Drosophila melanogaster: one gene and its partner. The protein of the gene in region 1 purifies or fractionates together with the protein of each later gene. This does not show direct contact. Each region holds a gene or a part of one and is shown in the gene's direction. Other genes may lie near its edges.

Region 1 (10,668 bases):
TAATTTGACTGCTAAGTAACGGATATGTAATAGTCGGGCAACTTGATTATTGCGTCCTCTCTTGTTTTAATTTGATGTCGGACTATATTTAAATACCTAAAAGCGTAAAAATAACTACATATTAATGCACAAACAATAAAATTGAATGCATACTAACTTTTCTTATGCTTAAAATATTACAAATGTGTGTATATTATTAGTTTAAGTTTCAAATTAGTGAGTAAATGAATTTTTCACATTTCTTTATCTTTAAGTCATTTTTGAAAGGCAGGTGGTAATTGTGAGCCTGCACTAGTTTTAGGAGATAATAATTACGTGTTTATTTTAAACAAAATCGGAAGGTACTAGTCAGTAAGCATTAATTATTATTTTTTAAATAAGGCAAATATGTATATTTTAAAATATGAAATACATGTATGTATGTCCGTATAAATAAAACCGTGAAATCAAATGTCGATTAAGTCATTTGACATAGCCAAGCCAGGAAATTTGCGGCTGATCCAAAAATATCTACCTGAGTGTAGCATAGGTGGGATAAATTTGGGCAATACGACCAAGATCGTCATCGTTCTCCAATTGGGAATCCTTCCGTGTACGCCGAACTGGTAGGCTGGGCATCGCTTAGCTTCGAACCCAATTACGAATATAGCAAATTTATACGCGGTATTTGTAGCTTTCCCAGGATAACAACACAATCCGCATAGACGGAATCTGCGATCAGGGGTGATCAAACGTTAGAATTTGCACAACATTTGGGTTTGTTTACCTTTTTGAAGTTCGAGATCGTAATTGCTTGTCTTGTGAGACGTAGATAGTTTTCAACGTTGGGGGTACTCCGGCCTTGGTTGTTAACCGCAACCAAATACTTAGCATGCAATTGGCGCAGTCGAATGACGGAAATTCACATTCCCTAAGTGCTCGTTAAATAGAAGTTAAAATACTAGAATTGTATACATATACTGAATCACTTGGTGAAAGAAATATAAAATGTTTGTTATCACTGATAAATTTTAATATACATTTTTAAATTCAATCAAAGTCAATTCCATATTATCTGTACTTCATTAAAAAATATAATATTATTAAAACAATACGATCCCCACCGGCGTTGTATATTTTCACCGATTTTACGTGTTTCATTCATTCTTGAGTTTCCCCTGATACGTGTCTGCGTGCTGCTGGATGTTCTTTGAGTTTTGTAAAATTTTATTTAAGTCAATGATCACTTGAGCGGTAAGGTTTGAAAATATGTTCACTAGCCTAAGTGCATGATTCAAAGAAAAATATACATAACATTTTCTACGTTAAAAAGAAGCATCTCGACTGATTTGGTTGTTTCGCTCTATCAAGCTCACGTTTCGGTTTTCCATTATTATGTAATTTGAGTGATATATATCGATTTTTAAGAATTTAACACACATTATAGAAACATAAAAAATATAGAAACATAATAAAATTATAGTGCCATCACTCGCGTTTATATTAATAATAAAAGAAAGAATACTATAGTCGAGTTCCAAGGCTATCAAATAACCGTTACCAGCTAGTGTGAATACAAACGCGAAATTGCATCAATTTTATGGAATATCGATAGATAATGGGATATAAAATGATAAAAAATTTCAAAATTGTTCCAAAGTGTGGCATTAGGGCGTTAGAGTGCGCGTGGCAAAAATTTTATTGACAAATCGATAGAAATTAAAAAGACTAATTAAATTATAGTCAGATCGACTAGGATATTGGTCCTGATCAAGAATATATATACCTTAAATGGTCGGAATACGAAAATACGACTAACGGTTATAATAAATTCATCACCACATTACTAGAAGTAATTACTATTAAATAGAAAGCGCTTACACTGCTCATAATCTTGTTATTACATTTTATAATGTTTAACGAATGCTATCTATGCTTTAAATTGAAATACTTGTTATCCAGTAGGATTATACATAATGAATTATTTCAATATACCATTTAACAACAAAACAAATTGCGCAATTCCCATCACTAATCCCTATGCTTGGTTTGATATCTCCAAAACATGGAAATGCGATTCCAGTGTAAACATCCCATTTGTTCCTCGTAACAGTCAAAGGACGGCCAAAACCACGTGTAAATATATCTGTTTAATTATATCCCAAAATTAAGTCACCAAAACTAGCAAACGCACAAAAAATATTCAGTTTGACCCGCAAGAGATCGAAAATTTTTGCGTTATCTATTTACCAATAAAGTTGTTCCATATACTCAAAATCGTCGTGGTCTTGGTGTAAAAGGGGCTTCCAATAAAGTTTTTTTCTTCATCGTCGTAGACATGGTAACACTGCAAGTGAACATAAAAATCGAAAACTGATTTATTTACAATAAACAAAAGCGCTTATCGGCTCCAGGACGCGCATATGCTGACAACCATTTGGCTAAAGGTTTAACACAAATTCCTTCCAACGACGCGGACTACTGGTAGTACCCGCAGCCTAAATTGCCGCGATGCCGTGCTGGTATTACGACAAAAAGGAGCTGCGGGAGACGCCCTCGATCTTGGATGGAATAAGCTTCGAAACGGAGCGGCGGTACAGAAAAGAAGGTGCTCGATTTATTATGGAATGTGGCACCAAAATGGGCTTGGGCCACAACACGATGGCCACCGGCGTTGTATATTTTCACCGATTTTACATGTTTCATTCGTTCCGGAGTTTCCCCCGGTACGTGACTGCGTGCTGCTGCCTGTTCTTTGCTGGCAAGGTGGAGGAGACGCCAAAGAAGTGTCGCGACATTATTAAAACTGCGCGTGGCATCCTTACCGACAATTACTTCTACTCGTTTGGCGACGACCCTAAGGAGGAGGTGATGACGCTAGAGCGTATTCTGCTGCAGACCATCAAATTCGATTTGCAAGTAGAGCATCCTTACACCTTTCTCCTAAAGTACGCTAAGTGTTTCAAAGGCGACCAGCAGAAGCTGCAAAAGATGGTGCAAATGGCGTGGAACTTCGTCAACGACTCTCTCAGCACAGTAGTTTGTCTACAGTGGGAGCCGGAGATTATCGCCGTGGCTCTTATCCATTTGGCCAGCAAGCTAAGCAAATTCACTGTGCAAGACTGGGAGGGCCGCCAGCCACAGCAGCAGCGTTGGTGGGATATGTTTGTGTCTGATGTAACGATGGAAATACTCGAAGACATCTGCCACCAAGTTCTGGACCTGTACCAATCAACCCAAAAAGAAGCGCTCCAGCCAACCAGTCCGCCCCAAAAGCCACCAAGCAGAGCCGACAGTCCAAAATCCGGCAAGCTTACCAATTCTACGGGTATTGGACCACTTTCCGTTCCACAACAGCCGCCGCCCCCCGTATGTGGCAACGGTGGCGTGCTGGAAGTTAGCAACATTCAGAGCATTAAATCCCTAGCCAGTGGCGTGCCAATCATTGGTCCTAGCGACTCCCAGAACCTGTTACAGGGCCCAACACCACCAGGTCAGCCATCCGGGTACCACATTTATCATGCTCCTCCACCGCCGCCCCCGCCGGTAGTGCCTATGCCGCCGTACCCCTCTTCCGGATGGGGAGTCCAGCAGACAGTGGTCGGACACTATAGCGGGAGCGCTGCACCACCACCACCAATGCCGCCTAGCTTGCCTCCAGGAGCCAGTGGATACTACAACGCCGGTGGGCGTCCATCGCAGCAGCGCTACTAGTAGATGCAATGACTAATAAACAAGTAAAAAAAATTTGTATATTAAAACTAGCGAACCGTTCGGAATAGGATTTAGAGCGGGGATCTTCGTACGGTTCGGTTTTCTTTTTTGGTTACACTCTAGGCCCAATATTGTCCCGGGGTATTTATCAATGATTTTTATTCCCTTATTTTAAGTCCTTACCCTTTCACATGTACTTGTTAGCAGAATTTTGCTGAAATGATGTTTCCAAAACTGAATAAAACCAAATGAACTAGAAAAAAATATTTTGGACATTGGGGCACTAACAAAAATAGATTCTTATTAAAATTGGCGAAACGTTGAGACAAAGCGGAATTGGAGTAACGGCGAAGTTTATAACAGTGGAAGATAAACATGAGAAATATGTGAGAACAATTTTTCAAAAGTGTGGGCGTGGCAGTTTTGGGGGTTTTGTATGTAAAAGGAGGGGCGTGGCCAGTGTTTTTGGTATGCAGATAAAAATTGGCAAGTCAAACAATAAAACGAAGAAAAATCTAAAAATTTTTAAATAGTGTGGCGCTATGTGTCTCCGCAAACTGTATGCTTAATCTCAACCATCTAGCTTTTATAGTTCATGAGATCTCGACGTTCATACGGACAGACGGACAGTCGGAAAGTCAGATATGGCCAGATCGACTCGACTATTGATCCTGATCAAGAATATATATACTTTATATGGTCGGAAACGCTTCCTTCTGCCTGTTACATACATACTTACAACGAATCTTGCACCTTTTACTCTACGATTAATGGGTATAATAACTCTTTAGATGTTTGAATAATTTTTGGAATGATACATAGTGTGCGAAGATTGCTCGGCTATCAGAAACAACAGTGCAGTTTTGCAGTTTCCATGGACTTTATTCTTGCCCATGGTACACTTGGAATAATAACGACTGCCCAGGCTACCTCGATTCGTATGTTTATTATAAATATAATTATGTCGTAGGCCAACGGTTTCGTTTTCCAGGCTAAAGACGAAAATGTTCGAAAATAATATTATTGACTTTGTTCGATGTTCTTCAATTTAATTTAATTTTTAAATGGTGTTAAAAATAATTAATTTCCTTTTATCTTTCAAATTTTATAAAGTCGATTTCTCTGAAACCAGGCTCTTTGATGTGATACTTACCGCGCTCTGCTTTCGAAACATCAACTACTTTGTCTCAGTTCGTTGACTTGCTTCGTTACAAACGTCTCGATCTTTTCGCTAAAAGATCTAGCTGACTTTTAGTTCTCCCGCGCTCTAGGTCCAAGGACCTCTATTTCACCAAAGACACTATGATAATTTTAGTAATTTATAAATTAACTAAACAAAATAATTTTAGTTTGGTATTATTCTAGTGTTGCTTTACCGTAAGTTGGCTATATTTAGACCAGGTATTCGGATACTTCATTTTTATAACAATTGCAAATATAGTGGTAAAACACGAAAAAATTAACAAAATATTTTTGCGGTTATACATAAATTTTTCAATGCAGAAATAATTTCTCAGAAATAATAAAATATTATATAAATATCAATATGAAGAATATGAATAAGCTTTAGAGTATTACTTATTGCCGTTTTATCAAGGGCTAAATAACACATCTAAATAAATAGTGCAATAGGAAAAGGAAAGTTTTATATTATATATTAAGGTTTAAAGCTAGGGCATAATCTATTAGACTAAAATTTACATTGTGTTCTGATCACTACCCACTTATTGCCATATATGTTGCAGGAAAGGTCTTCCGTTGATGTTTTTCGCCAGAATGCTATGGTACTTCCAATGAAGCTGAGTTTTTGTCAAGGGATCTACACGTTTGTCGACCTTGTGAAAGACAAAAGCCAGTTCTGACTGGATTAAAAGTTTGCATTTGTTTGTGCTCTACTAGTATGCCTGGCATACAGTTCTGTACAGTTCAAGTCTTCAAGTCGTTATGATATAGGACCACCTCTGTCGAAGGGAATAAATTAAGATCGTACTTGTCAATACTCCAACTAATTTTATTGAGTAAATCTAACAGTACTTAAGAGTAAGAGTTAAGATTCACATAATATGCTTATGCCAACAGAATTGTGTAAGACAACAAATTTTGGGTAAGTGGTAATGCTATATAGCCAACTGGACAGAACATGTTTATGCCAGTAAGTCGTTCACGACCTGAAAAACGATAGTCCGTGTTGGACTAACACTTTTACCTGAAAAATAACATTCTCCTGGCCGTTGAAGTGTTAAATAAGTAATTAAAGAAGATTGAATTTTAAATTTAAAACAGCAGAAATTCTTGATTTGTTTTTTAGTAGCCGGCTTACTAACTATACGCGTGACTCGTATAGAGAGAGTATACTAGATTCGTTGTAAAGTAACAGTGACATTCATACGTGCTAGAAACTAACTTGTGAGTTTTAAAGCAACACAAAAATTTGGACCAGCAAGAAATATGTCGTTCTATACGCAGGGAACTCTTAGTAGAAACTTATCAGCTAATTCAATGTAGTTATAAACCGCTTGCAAGATCCCTTTCTTATAAAAAGCATAGAGTATAATAAAATTCTGATTGTCTTAATTCGAATGTAGAGCCTTTTTCCTGTCTTTGAGCTGGCCCACCAATCCGAGAAATATTTTTTCCAATATATGTGTGGTGTGTATCTCATACTGTTTTGTTTTCAGACATGTATATATATATAACGCTAAAGTAAGATTAAAAACGAAAGGCGGGTAACAACGAAGACGAAAGAAGAATTCAGGAAGATGATGATCAACTGAGATGAGTTGAGTTAGAAAATGTTTTTTATTATATTATTTTTATTTATATTATCCAAAAATCTGCAGTAGCAATTATGTTGCGTCACGGCCCTTGAACGACGTGCAGAACACAGCCAGCCTTATGAGAAAAGTTTAAGCACTTGGATTGCAGTCGTTAAAAATTCTTGCTGTCAAACAATTAAAAAACTGTGACCTTATGTTACCCTTGCTGGCCATGTTTGTTTTAAATAGGCTTCTGTGTCACAATTATTTCTAACGCATGGCGCTCACTCGCTAGCAAAACAATCTAATGCAAAATTCGAATAACAAAACAAGAGAGAATGCTATATATTTCCCTTATATGACCGGAAAACTATGTACCTGTTACATATGTTTCAACGACTCTAGTATACCTTTCTACTCTACAAGTAACGGGTATAATTACATATGTATATGTACATATGTACATACATACATATGTATTACGTATTCCGTAAACAAATATGCACATTACAATATAAGGCGTTGATAGGCGAGGCAGATACATATATTTGTATTGATACCTGTATATTATGGCCTACATAGAAAACATTTTTGAGCTTTAAACACCAACTAAACTTTGAGTTTCTTTATTTTCTTTTTTTTTTAGAGCGGAGAGACTTTTGAACCCGACTTAAGCGGTGGGTCACGGCCATGCGATCACCTGATTTAATATGGAAGATGACTTATTAAAAAAAATTAAACAATAAAACTGGGCTAAGCACTTCTAGAGAGATGATGTGTATCCGGCTTAATGTGAAAATAAATGAGTGGTTGTGCAAATACGTCCTAACATTTGCGGGTTAGAGTCAGTACCCCACTCATGTAATACTGCGGGATCATTAAATATTCGGGCAGGGTGCGTTTACAAAAGGAGGTTGACGACGATGCCTGTGCTTGTGTGGATGCTGCTACTGTTGCCTGACGCACGATGTGACCAACCTTTCCTGAAAAAAATAGAATGTTATTTTGTAAAAAAAAATAACAATTTAATACAATTTGAAATGACTTGTATTCTGCGTTAACCTTACAAAAATTGTTACGCCCACTGGCTAAGTAACGGAAATCTGAAATTTGAATAAATCGACTATAAGATTCTCTCGTCATTAATTGACTTCCCTAAAGTTCTTAGGGTAGCAATTATGTAGTCTCACGGACTAGCCTAATTAAGGTCAAATTGCTTCCCTCTTGCGTATATTGGCAAAATTTCATTAGTTTACAATTAAAGAAAAGAACTTGTTTAGTGTCTCTGTGTCAGGGGTAACAATACTTACTAATCCATATATATATATTTGTATATCTATCGATATTCCAGAAAAATTATGAAATTTCGCGATCGCATTTCTACTAGCTGAGTAACGGGTATCTTAAAATCGGCGAAGCCGACTATAGCGTTCTATTTTATGATTAGAAAACATTTTTCTTACTGAATATGTAAATATGTAATATATCAATACCGAGTAAAACTTTTATATACAAACTATGAAAAAACAACTCTATAGAACATCTTACCCATCACGTTTGCGCAATGAAAGCGGTCATCTAGTTGCTGAAGGAGGGAAAGATCTCGACAACGTGCCCAGGCATTAAGTATGTCCCTTACATTTATAGGCACCCATTCAGTTTTGTCTGCAGCTTTCTGTTTGAAAAATGTGTTGCATTAGTTTAAAAAAGTGTGTACAATATGTATTTGATTTTACCCCCTTAAATTGTACAATAAGCTGTTGGTGGGTCGCCATCTCGATCAACCGTTTGAGCTTGCGATGGTTTCCCTGCTGCTTTGAGGCCTGTATTAATAGCTGCTTGAGATTGACACTACTTTCCGTCCGTCGCCGCTTGGCCAATTGCTTGAAATAGCCATGAAGTAGCTCCCTGTCATAGGGTACGCGCAGTTTATCTAGCGCTTGCACTAGGTGCTCCTCGTCGCACGTCTTTCCTGTAGACAGACTTGCCACCAGTGGCTCAGTCAGATAGCCTTGATTGAGGAGCTATTCGCGAGAGCGGGTAAATTCATTATACACAATTATTATAGCATGCGTTTACATACCTGTAGACCGTTGAAACTATTATCACACGAAATAAACCTTTGGTTGCAGGGTGGACCCAAATTGGAACCAGAAACAATTCCGGTTGCTATTAAGCTGTGCCAGCCGGCGAACGGACCTCCATAGCAGTATACTGGGGACCCGCTTCGACAGCGAACCTGGTCCGACCGTGAGTAAAGCGAAATACTACTGCCCCGACTGCCAGCTGATCTACGACACTTAGGACATGTTCCCGGGTCTACGACTTTGCCTATGGTATTGGCCAAGAACTCCTTTTCTAGGCAGTCTAAGCAGTTCTCCTCGGTTATTCCCAAGTCAAATTGGCCCGTGCACGAAGAAGACGTGGTCAAAGCCCCAACAGTCGCAGGAGCCACCAGTATAGGAGGCACTTGATCTTGCTTTGACTTCGACCCTGACTGTTGCTGCTGACATGTTGTTGCCCGGAAATCAGTGCAGCTGTAGCAACGTTCATCAAAGCTAGCTGATGTATGAGAGCGCCGCGACTTATATGAGGAGCTTTTAGTCATCACAGACGAGGTGTGCAAAAAACGCTTTGGCTTAGCACCAGTCAGCTTAGGCTCTGGGTGTTCGCTGGGGACACTAGTGCTGCGCGAAAAATTTGAGCCTGTGTGCAATGTGTTGGGCAAGGAATGAGCCTGATAAGACTTCACTGACCGAAAGCTTCCGGAGGATTCAGCCTGCTTTTCCGAGCCAATAACTATTAGCTCATTTAAATCTATGTCCACGCCACTTCCACCAGCACCAACGTCTTTGATTTTATCTAAATTCAAGCTGATGCGCGCGAACTTCTTACTAAGGCGTAGCTTTTGCTGCTGCATTAGGTCCTCCTGCGGAAAATCATCTATGGGCGAGCTGTGCAGCTTTCCTTCCTGCGTAGAAGTAGTTCCGCCTATGCTGTTCATTTGGCTATAGTCGCGTTGCATTAACAACAAATTGGCCTGAGGCTGGATGGTCATATCGGTGGTTCCGCCAACAAGCTCCAACTCTGATGAGGGGTCTGGCTCAAAGTCCATTTCAAGAAACTCCGTCTCATCTTCGCCGTAAATGAGGCTATCGCCTCCCATAGCATTCACTGGTCCTCGGCCAAGGTCGAAGTGTTGCCCGCCAACCCTTCCCGTGGCGATGATATCCATGTTCATGTCAAAATCAGCCCCTTCACCACGGTAAGCGTAGACGCAGTCGTCGGAGTTGATAGATATCTCCTCCGCGTTCATGTCGTTGTCGTCCAGCAAAATTATATCGTCGCCGTAAATATTGTCACTGGCATAGCTCAGGTTTTCGGTTGAGTTGTTTATGGAAGTTCGGCTGGAATTATAGCCACAGGCGGCGGCTTCAAAGGATGAGAGGGCAGCTGCTGCTAGCCCGTAGCTTGCCACGTCCAGATCCAGTTCGCAGTAAGAAGGACTTTCCACCTTTTTAAAGGATAAACAGAACATAACATAATCAACATAATTTTTTGTGCTTAAAGCGGCAGTCACTTGCCTTATCACCATCCTCTGCGGCCATGGTCGCTGCAGGGCACTCCTCTGCCTTTGCCCCGCCACCACCCACGGCTCCCACGACCTGCTCGTCCACCGCTACGGCCTGCGCTGATGTTGTTGCTGCTCGTTTTTGATTTGTGCCCATTGTATTTACACCGGTCCCACAATTGACTTGGCTGACTAAGAGCTCCGGGCGTCGCTCTTCAGCCGCATCAGGACCGAGGTGTCGGTTCGCACTATAATTAACGATATTGTTATTGTTACTCAGATGCAAACGCCAGTTTAATTTATCTAGCTCTCGAAAATCCATTCCATTTGCGGCCTGGGCAGTGTTACCAGATGGCATAACGGTAAAAAAAAACCGTCGACAGCCTCTTAAAATAATTAATGCCAAAACAATTATGCGACCTATTCACACAGCCCAATTGATGCGTGAACGTTAACAATTTCAATGATAAAATGCAAGGCAACTAATTTAAAGCTAATTGTTTCAGTAAAAAGATTATGCGGATTCTTTATTCTTGTATAATAAGTTTTCGCTGCAACGGAAGAGGATAAAAAGGCATATATATGATATATTTAGCAAATTAGATATAAAGTAGATAAAGATATAATAGCATTGTAGATCAATATAGC
Region 2 (9,929 bases), on another chromosome or scaffold:
TTCTACTAGCAAATGTACATTGTAAATTCCTGAATAATTACTGCTAGCAAATGTTATGATTCCACTATCGCCACTTTCCATACTCTGGCTGAACACATTCAACGCTCCCGGCGCAGAGTGTCCACCATTTGAGCATTTCAACATAAAGGGATGGCAGAGAACAGCCTCCAGGGTAATTCGTTCGTGCGGGAGCTTTTTTAATAATTTGTTTATCAGGTCCTGCGCCTCGTAAGACAAGTGAGCCGGCATAATGTACTCGGACATCACAACTTTGTTAAGGGTTGACTGCACTGCATCGGTTTCGAAGGGCGGGCGTCCAACCAGCAGGGTGTACAGCATGCATCCAACGCTCCAGACGTCCGCGGGCAGTCCGTGAGACGTTCGCGATACCACCTCAGGCGAAATATAGTTCGGAGTTCCACACATGGTCATATGGCGCTCATCAGGTCGCTTTAATTGGGTGGCCAGTCCAAAATCGGCTATCTTGACGTGCATTTCCCTGCTAAGCAGTAGGTTGGACAGCGAAATGTCGCGGTGCATGATGTTGTGGGAGTGCAGGTACAAAAGTCCCGCCACCACCTGCTTCAGAATGGAAGCAGCTTCCGTCTCTGTGAAGGGTCTGGCGATGTGGTTCATATAGCGATGAAGCTCCCCATTATGGGCCAGCTCGAGCACCAAATACACATAGTTGGCGTCCTGAAAGAAAGTGTACAGCTGAAGCACAGAGGGATGCTTCAGGCGGGAGTGGATTTCCACTTCCTGGCGAACGCGGTTAGTGAGTCCAGTGCCCTGGATTAGTTTTTTATCGATCTGAAAGCCAGTTTGTGAGTAATACCTTTAACCAACACTATAGCAGTACTTACCATCTTTATGGCCACATCCTGGTGAGTGTGCAGGCACCGCGCCTTGTAGACGGTCGCAAAACCACCTTTACCCAGCAAGTGCTGTACTTCATAGTCCTGCAAAGACAAACAGCGCTTAAAAACTCCGTCCGACTGCCGCCTTCCAGCACACCCACCTCAATTGTTTCTCCAAACGCCCGATTGGATAACATAGCTAGCCTTTTTTCTGTAGACTTACTGAGCCACTTGGAATGTCTTGTTGTTATTTATCAAAAAACTAAAGCCATATAAACAAACAAGCCGAACAAAATTTAAACGCCACCGTTAGTGTTGGGAAATTTTAATGCCACATTAGTGAAGATCATTAGCCAGCACTAATGAGGGCTGCACTATCACCAATATATTTGCGAATTTGTTACTCCAATACAATTTATTTCTTGTTTAAAGAATATTTCACAAAATTATGATATTAATCATTAAAAATTATTTTTATATACGAGTTGATAAGTAAAAGTCAAACTATCAATAATGGCTTCAAAAACAATCATTGCCAGCACTCCCCAGTGTTGCCAGAGCTAATAAAGTATATTTATGAGATATTTATATAAAAAATATTGTTCTCTTTATTTGAACTAAATAGGTGATACATTTGAAAAAAAAAACTTGCTTAGGGCTCAATATTCCACCAACAGCATACTTAAATGCACTCTTCGATCATAGCGTGTTCCCACTGCACTAGCAGTTAATGCAGCCCTGGTGATTAATCGCCGAGAATATTGCCATCCGTTGCAAATGCAGAGAATCATGGCAAAATTATTCTTATGGTTTTACTACCGAAACAATGCCTAATGAGATATGTAACTTGCATTTGAACAAATTCTCTTATATTTAAACCGATCCCACAATAAGCTGAGCCCATTTTCGCGTAATGAATATAATTCGAAATCATAAACAACGTCGGAATATGAGACTCGATAGCCGTGTTATTTAATAATTAAAGGAGTTCAGCGAGTGCGTGCGCCGAGAGTCGTAATAAAGAACAACGTAAGCCGCCAATTTTGCCGGCAATAAAGTTATTAAGAAGTGGTGTTTACATAATTTACTCCCAAAAATTGGTAAGTCCGCAGCAAAGAAAATAAAGTGACCCACATACTTACATTGATACTTATGAATGCATGTATGTATATGAGTAGGTGTTTGCCTTATACATGAAGGCACGCAGACAACCTTGGACTCTCACACACGTCAATGACAAGCAACAGTGCAAAAGTAGTGCTGGAAAGTGTCCTCGAAAATCCTTAATGTCTATTTTAAAATCTATTTTCCTAAGTATCTGAAATTTCGTTTTATAATTGCAATTATCCATCAGCTTCTACGCCACTTCCTGGAACTTTCGCTATCCCCCTTGTTATATTCTTCAGGGTAGTTCATACATGAGCAAGTAATTTAGTGCCAGCAATTAAAAAAGTTCAGATCATGTTTAATCATTTTTCAAAGGGCAATATTCTTTTAGTTTTAAAGAACAAACCAAAATAAAAAAAAGTTTGTTATTTTCCGCAAACACCTACAGTGTGACCAGCGTCTTTGGTCGGTTAAATGACAGTAACACGCGTTCTTCCGCCTTTTGCCCCATACCATTTTCGGTCACACTTGCCACTTCATTATAACCTTAAAATGACAAGTTATAAATTTTTTTTATGTTAATTTTAGTGGAAACCGAACACTAGATTGACTTTTAAAAGCTGTGCCGCAGTGTGCCGAACTTTTTCGATAGTCTGGGCATCTTCGGCGTCTTAAACTGGCACATATGCAAGATAATCATGTAAAGAAATCGTCACACGAATATGTGCTTGTGCTGGTTGGCAGCGATGTAAATAAAATTTAAGCTGCTCCCGAGTAAAATCTTGCCGCAAAGTAAAAAAACTTAAACGCCGAAGTGCCACTTGTAGCAAAAGTTCGCGGACAGCGAAGTCTCAGCACGAACCGTAGAGAACTGAGCGTGGGTCTGCGAGTTCTCCAAGTCCAACCGCCAAGACGCTAAGATGCATGCATCCTCCGCGGCGGCCACTGCACTTGTGGAGTACTCGGACGTCAGCTCAGAGGACTTCTCGGATCAGGAGGCAGGGGACTTGGATGCGGACGCCGGCAAGGGTGCCGGAAACATCAAAAAACCGAAGCCAGCTCCGGATAATCAGTTCTCCAAAGGTCGTCTTGATGCCAAGCCCGATAAAGAGGGTTATGATAACTACAGGTAAGAGAAGGAAAATTGATGTATAAGCGACGGTAACTACAGCCCCTCCATGCAGAAGTAGAAGGGCGGAAGACTCAAGCGACCCAGTGGCGGCCGGATCGAGGCAAACGTCTAGCAGCGAGGCCACGAATCCGCGGGAGGAACCTTCGCAGGCATCCAACACCTCGAAGGACGAGCTGTGGGGCAGAGAGATATACATGTCCAGCGATTCTATCGACACCGATGAGCTGGAGGCGGAAATGAAGCGGCAGAAGCGCAAAAAGCAGAAAAAGGAAAAACACAAACACAAGTCGAAGAAAAAGTCCAAGAAGCGCAAGAAGAAGCGGGCCAAGTCATACTCCAGCATCGATTCGATGTCAGACAATGACATCAATGCCTTACTGGACCGGCGCTATACTCCGCCGACGGCTCCTAGCAAGAGCAACGAACGGACGGTTAGCGCTGCGCCGTCCTCCTTCACCCCACACAACCTCAAGGAGAGCAGTTCGCCAGCCACTCCACCGCCAGTGCGTCGCCCGAATACGAACAGCAACTACTACGGCGAGTCGTCCCTGGAGACGGCCAACTCTGCACTGGGAAGCAACCTGCAGGTCACAGTTACGAATAAGCAGTCGATCAGCAACCGGCTTCGTTCTCCTCCTCCGTCCTCCCGCTCCAGCGGCAACGGGCCGAGGTTTGGAAACTCCCCGCGAACTCCACCGCCCTCTCACTACAGCTCCAGTGGCGGAGGAGGGGTTGGCAGTGGGTCAGTGGTCCGCGATTCACGCAGCTCCCGCTATGTAAATAGTCCCCACAAAGAGGATGTAAGTGCGCATCACCGCTCTAGCCACGATCACGGATATCAGGGACGTTACTCTGGTGCTGGGTCGAGCAGTCACGATACCAGGAAGGTGAAACGACTGTCGCCGGGTAAGTTTGATTTTAATTAAGGCAAATGTGGTTTACTTACTTTGGAAAACTGTGGCAGAGCTGGACCGCTACAACCATCAGCCAAGCACGCCACCCCACAAGCGTCGGAAGTTTAGCGATGGCAGGGAAGTGGGCCTCGGAAACTTTGAGCACAGTAGACACCACTCTGGAAAGTACGAACGATACAGCAGAGATCGATATTCTAGGCGGTCATCAAGGTAACGTTTTTCCTATATTTTATGTGAATAGCTCTAATTACCTACTGACTTCGCTTATTATTAAATACTTTAATTATTTTTGAAGTGTACATATGTGAGTAGTGCAATGGTAATTAGAACTAATTATTTAACTGAAATTGTATTTCGTTATTATTCATATATCTAACAATACAATTTTCCAAACTATATCAAGGAGCCCCAGTGTGCAGCACTCACGAAGTCGGCAATCTCCCAGCGGCGGCCTGTCAAGTGGTTCGAACGCGTTTCGCCATGGTGGCAGTCACAAACACAAGTATGGGACCACTGTTAGCTCGACGCCGTCGCATACGACGAGGACCTCAAAACGCGCTTCGGGAACTGGTACCTCTGGCGATCGCTACTCGAGGTCGCCCAGAACAAGTTCGCGGTACATGGAGTCATCACCGCCATCGCCAGTCGGAGCTTCCGGTTCGCATCACTATCATCATCGCCGTTCGCCAAGGATGCGCCAGAGGACCAGAGGCGACAGTCGTCGCCGGTCGCCCAGTTCGGCCAGCAGCGAAAGTTCTGCCTCTCGCAGCCGATCACCAACGTCAAGAGATCTAAAGCACAAGCGCGAAGAGTACATTAAGAAGATCAGTGAGACTAGCCTATTTGCCGAGCTGGTAAAGGATCGTCACAAAAGGCAGAAGGCGCTGAAGGAAATCATTGAGCGGCAAGAGGAGAACAGCAATAGCAACAGCAACGGTGCACTGACTATTAACGACAACAGTTCCTCCGTGGATGGCAATACACCCAACGCGGCTGATGGCCGATCTGCCCCTGGAAGTGGAACACCAGCAGCGGCGTCAACAACTTCCAATGGGCTTCAAGCTTTGGGTAGCAAGCCGGATCTGGACCTCAACAACATTCCCATGCCAAACAAGCAGAACGATTCTGTGGTTTCGAATCCGGCTTCAAACGCCGATGTTCCGGACAGTGTCGCGCAGTTGAAGCAACCTTTGCTGGTGCCACCGTTCTCGGCTAGTAAGAACAACATAAAACCGAAGAGCCTGACTTCTTTGCCGCTGCCGCCGGGTATGAATGTGCTCGACTTGGCCGGTGCAAGGTCTCCCTCTCCGGGGCAAAAGAAGGAATCGGACGAAAAGAACGTTACTTCAAGCGGCAGCGCCAACAAGAGCGTGCTCAATCTTCCTATGCCGCCAGTAATTCCCGGCAGCGAAGAGCTTAGTGGCGATGATGATGTTATCGACAGTCCTGAAGACTTTGATGCACCCGCGGTTGGCACTGTGCACGGTCACGGTGGTGGGCCAGGGACAACTCGTCAGCGCCCAGTGATACTCAACCGTCGTGACTCGCGAAACAACGTACGCGACTGGGGCGAGCGCTGTGTGGATGTTTTTGAGATGATTGCGCAAATAGGGGAAGGAACTTACGGACAGGTAAAAATGGGATGCTTGGTGGATCTTTTGATTAAATCTGATTTTCTGTCATTTGCTTTGCAGGTTTACAAGGCGCGGGATCATCATACCAATGACATGGTAGCACTGAAGAAGGTTCGGCTGGAGCACGAGAAGGAGGGCTTTCCCATTACAGCTGTTCGTGAAATCAAAATTCTGAGACAACTTAACCATCGCAATATAGTCAACCTGCATGAAATTGTGACGGACAAGCAGGATGCTGTGGAGTTCCGTAAAGACAAGGGATCCTTCTACTTGGTGTTTGAGTACATGGATCACGACTTGATGGGTCTGCTGGAGTCTGGCATGGTCGACTTCAACGAGGAAAACAACGCAAGCATTATGAAGCAGCTCTTGGACGGCCTCAACTACTGCCACAAAAAGAATTTTCTGCATCGAGACATCAAGTGCTCGAACATTTTAATGAACAACAGGTGGGAAGATAATCATTTGGGTGGCTTATGTTGGTGGGTGGCTTAAGTGCACGAGCAGTTCCGCGCATTGCTATCGATATTACCCTTACAAACATACAAAGGCAATATTCATAACCAGCCGTCATTCTCTAATCAATATTATATTATTCTCTGATTGAGTCCAAAAAGGGATTCATTCTTAAACGCTTTGGTGTTAAATAATCCTTAAAGTTTACACCAATTTCTCAAGCATATATTTTCTAAATTTAGTTTTCTTATAATATTTATTGACAATATTGAATTACTTTGCAGGGGTAAAGTAAAACTAGCTGACTTTGGGCTGGCACGACTATACAATGCGGACGATCGGGAACGCCCCTACACGAACAAAGTAATTACCTTGTGGTATCGTCCTCCTGAGCTTTTGCTGGGTGAGGAGCGTTACGGCCCGTCGATAGACGTGTGGTCCTGCGGGTGCATCCTCGGCGAACTCTTTGTGAAGCGGCCCCTGTTCCAGGCTAATGCGGAAATGGCGCAGCTTGAAACGATATCAAAGATCTGTGGATCCCCGGTTCCTGCCGTGTGGCCGAATGTAATTAAGCTGCCTCTGTTCCACACTCTCAAACAAAAGAAGACGCACCGCCGCCGTCTACGAGAAGACTTTGAATTCATGCCAGCCCCTGCACTTGATCTGCTGGACAAAATGCTTGATTTAGATCCGGACAAGCGCATCACAGCAGAAGACGCGCTCCGGTCACCGTGGCTAAGGAAAATCAACCCCGACGAGTGAGTACACATGGTCTTAAACCCTGTGTACATCTCAAGCATGGAAATAACTTTATATTTTTGCAGAATGCCAACGCCACAATTGCCCACATGGCAGGACTGCCATGAGCTTTGGAGTAAGAAGCGCCGTCGGCAGATGCGGGAGCAACAGGAGTCGCTTCCTCCTACGGTGATAGCCTCGACCAAATACCAACAGCATGGAGCAACCATGGTGGGGGATGCTTAGCATTTGCTGTTTGCTTCGCTACTTAATGTGAAGGAGAGCTACATACAGCGTGAAGGCGAGGAGTGTTCCTGGTGGCACTAGTAACTAGCCGTAACTAGCAATAACGTAACCAATAAGGGATTCTGTTATCCCTGGACAGGGCCAGAATAGGTTGACTTAGACTTGCTCTAGCTCTGTCGAGTTAAAGACAGCTTCAATAAAGTCTTGGCTACATTTATAAAATGCTTTATATGTTGGGAAAATTGAATCAATCGCTGTATAAACGAGATGTTATATATTCGCAAAGATAAATATTTTAAAAATGATTTTATACATATTTTACTATTCAATTTAATTGCTATTAGTTTTTTTATTTTTGAATAAACTGGCAATCTGAAGACAACGTGCATGATCGAGAATAAAAACTTCGCGTAACGAAATTGTAAACTGTTAACACAGTACGTATTCGCAACAGCAAAGGCGATTTGTAAGTGACCATGTTTCAAAGCTACGAAATAAGCATATATAACGAGCAGTTAAAGATTAGCATTTTAATTATAAAGAACTTGTTAAATAATAATAGACTACAGATAGTGTATTGACTAGTTTAGTTTATTGTTAAGTATGTAAGAAAGGTGTAAATTATAAATGAATTTATCAAGTAAATATGTACTATGTATTTACCCAAGCACAGGCATTTGATAAGTTTATATTTTAATATGATGTTAGAACGCACACAGCATCAGATTTACTTTGCATGATGTGCGTGAGACTGAAATCAATTCACTTTAAATTGTGTAAATAGGTTGAACATTTCTAACATTACACACGATCAAACAAAATTACAATCTCCAAATGCAAATCAAATTGACTAAATTCATTATTGGTACATAAAATCCTACCCAAATAAAAGTTAAACATACGAAGTGTACTTTAAATTAATTGATAGCTGATTCGAATATTTTTCTCTTAATGTGAAATAGATTAAATAGATTTTGAAAGGTGTAAACGGTTTTCATTTAAGAAATCAATTACCAAGTGGGAAATTGGTCCTAAAGTTATCCATTTTTTCTGTGCCAGGTTTTTAAGACTAAGATATGATCAATCACTTTACAGGAAAAAAATTTTTTTTTTAATAGAAATAGTTTTTGTCACAAATGTATTCAACATATTATTAAACAAAAAGTTTCAAAAGAAGGGCCACCAAAATTTATGTAAAATTTTCTATAGCTGTGCCGTTAATTACTTAAAATTTAATTATATTTCAAAAATAATAAAAAATCATGTGGTATAGTTAAGTTGAGTTAGAAAAAGTGTTCATTTAAATTTGAAAAGCATATTAGCGATACGGCCACTCAAAGTAAGAAATCTGGTATTTTTATCGTTCGTGAACAAACGAAGTGATTCGGTATTTTCGAAAGGTCCCACTAAGTGCAGCATATATATAAATGCGTTTCATCATCAGATTTGTATGTATATTGTGTCAGTTCGCCTTTGTTTTTTAATTGCTAGTCCGTCAATTAAGAAATGCTTTTACGGTGTGTGTCCAACTAATCGGGATAACCTTTCCTCGGGACGAGCCCACTGGAAGGGCTGTTTGGGAGCATAAACAATGGAAAGGGTTGCATCTGTGGGAGCGTGTATGTTTGTATACGTATACCCACACCATTGTTACGATGCACCTGGAAGGCCAAAAGAGAAATGCAGTGGAAAGTGTATTGTTGCAGTGTGTTAGCGATCCTGGCCAGCTGAGTGGCTGCGCGGATTAGACACAGTGCTATCCGGTTCTACACAGATACTGGCGATCCAGGGTTTGGCCTGGTGTCTAGACATTTTGAAAAGAAAGTGAGGAAAACAGTGTGTGCGTGTATGTAAATAGATGTATTTTCCCATTCCTTTGTACCGAAAACAAAGCAAAGTTGATTAATACGAGCTAAGACAGTCGGGGGCGAAAGTATTGGCCAAAACAGATTCCTTAAATTTCTCTCTTCTCAAGTGCTCCAAAATAAGCTTATCGTCAAACTTTAGCTGCTATCTGTTATGACGTAGTAAAATTTGTAAGATTTTAAAATAAGGTTATTCATTGTTGATGTCAAACTTTTACGATTCCTGATAATTTTTTGCATATGTCCAGCTATTTTAGGAGACTAATATTTCTTGCAGTACTGAATTTAATTAAGGGATAGTTACAATTGCGTTCTATTCCACAACAGACCCCATTGTTTGAAGTCTATGATATGGGGGTGCACTTTTGCTGGTGGTGTGGGTGAACCAGTTTTCTCCCATGGAGCATTAAAAATTATAGAGGTAATTTTACAGTCCAAAAAAGAAATCGCATGAGTATGAGTAAGAAAACTCCATAACCTTTAAATGCGACACAATCAAAACAAAAGTGTTGTCGAAATTTCAATACAAGTCAAGACTAGTTGAATCATACTAAATGTGTTAAACAGTATAAAACTTTAGCTTTGAGATAATATAATTTAACTTTTCTAATTTCCCTCGGTTTCCCAAGTATATGAATGAAGCCATGCCAACATTTTAGTCAACGACTGTGCGGCCATCAGCTAGGGATGTACATACGCAAGTAAAATGCATGTACATTGCACTTACACATGTATATACATACAAATGTAATGTGTAGGAAAAAAAAGAGCCGAATGAAAATACCCTTGATTTTGATATTGATTGATTTTGACTATTGACGAGATTAGCAGACTCGATAAGTGGCTCTCTCATTTTTGGGTAGTAATATTTGTAAGGAAGCTTTTAAACAAGATACACCACAAACTGCACTTTCCATAGCAGCGGGTTAAAGGTCGAACCACGAAACAAAGTTACATATAAAGCCCCAAATGAGGCATTA

Evidence for each region.
Region 2: the proteins of CycK (region 1) and Cdk12 purify together in Drosophila melanogaster (affinity purification with mass spectrometry; 2 studies listed by BioGRID). This does not show direct contact.

What each region holds. Positions count from the first base shown.
Region 1 is NT_033779.5:22,121,546-22,132,213, reverse strand, and holds CycK (cyclin K), read left to right. Parts: upstream 1-2,071; 5' UTR 2,072-2,490; coding exon 2,491-3,693; 3' UTR 3,694-7,274; coding exon of another isoform or gene 7,275-7,432; 3' UTR 7,433-7,929; downstream 7,930-10,668. Other genes in the region: CG3651 (uncharacterized protein), read right to left, coding at 7,275-7,432, 7,998-8,124, 8,186-8,473, 8,533-9,963, 10,034-10,342.
Region 2 is NT_037436.4:21,514,698-21,524,626, forward strand, and holds Cdk12 (Cyclin-dependent kinase 12), read left to right. Parts: upstream 1-1,608; 5' UTR 1,609-1,957; intron 1,958-2,489; exon of another isoform or gene 2,490-2,552; 5' UTR 2,553-2,884; coding exon 2,885-3,093; intron 3,094-3,148; coding exon 3,149-4,002; intron 4,003-4,060; coding exon 4,061-4,220; intron 4,221-4,413; coding exon 4,414-5,641; intron 5,642-5,704; coding exon 5,705-6,093; intron 6,094-6,384; coding exon 6,385-6,858; intron 6,859-6,924; coding exon 6,925-7,084; 3' UTR 7,085-7,459; downstream 7,460-9,929. Other genes in the region: Sak kinase, read right to left, coding at 42-810, 864-959, 1,019-1,054. UniProt on the Drosophila melanogaster protein: Cyclin-dependent kinase which displays CTD kinase activity: hyperphosphorylates the C-terminal heptapeptide repeat domain (CTD) of the largest RNA polymerase II subunit, thereby acting as a key regulator of transcription elongation.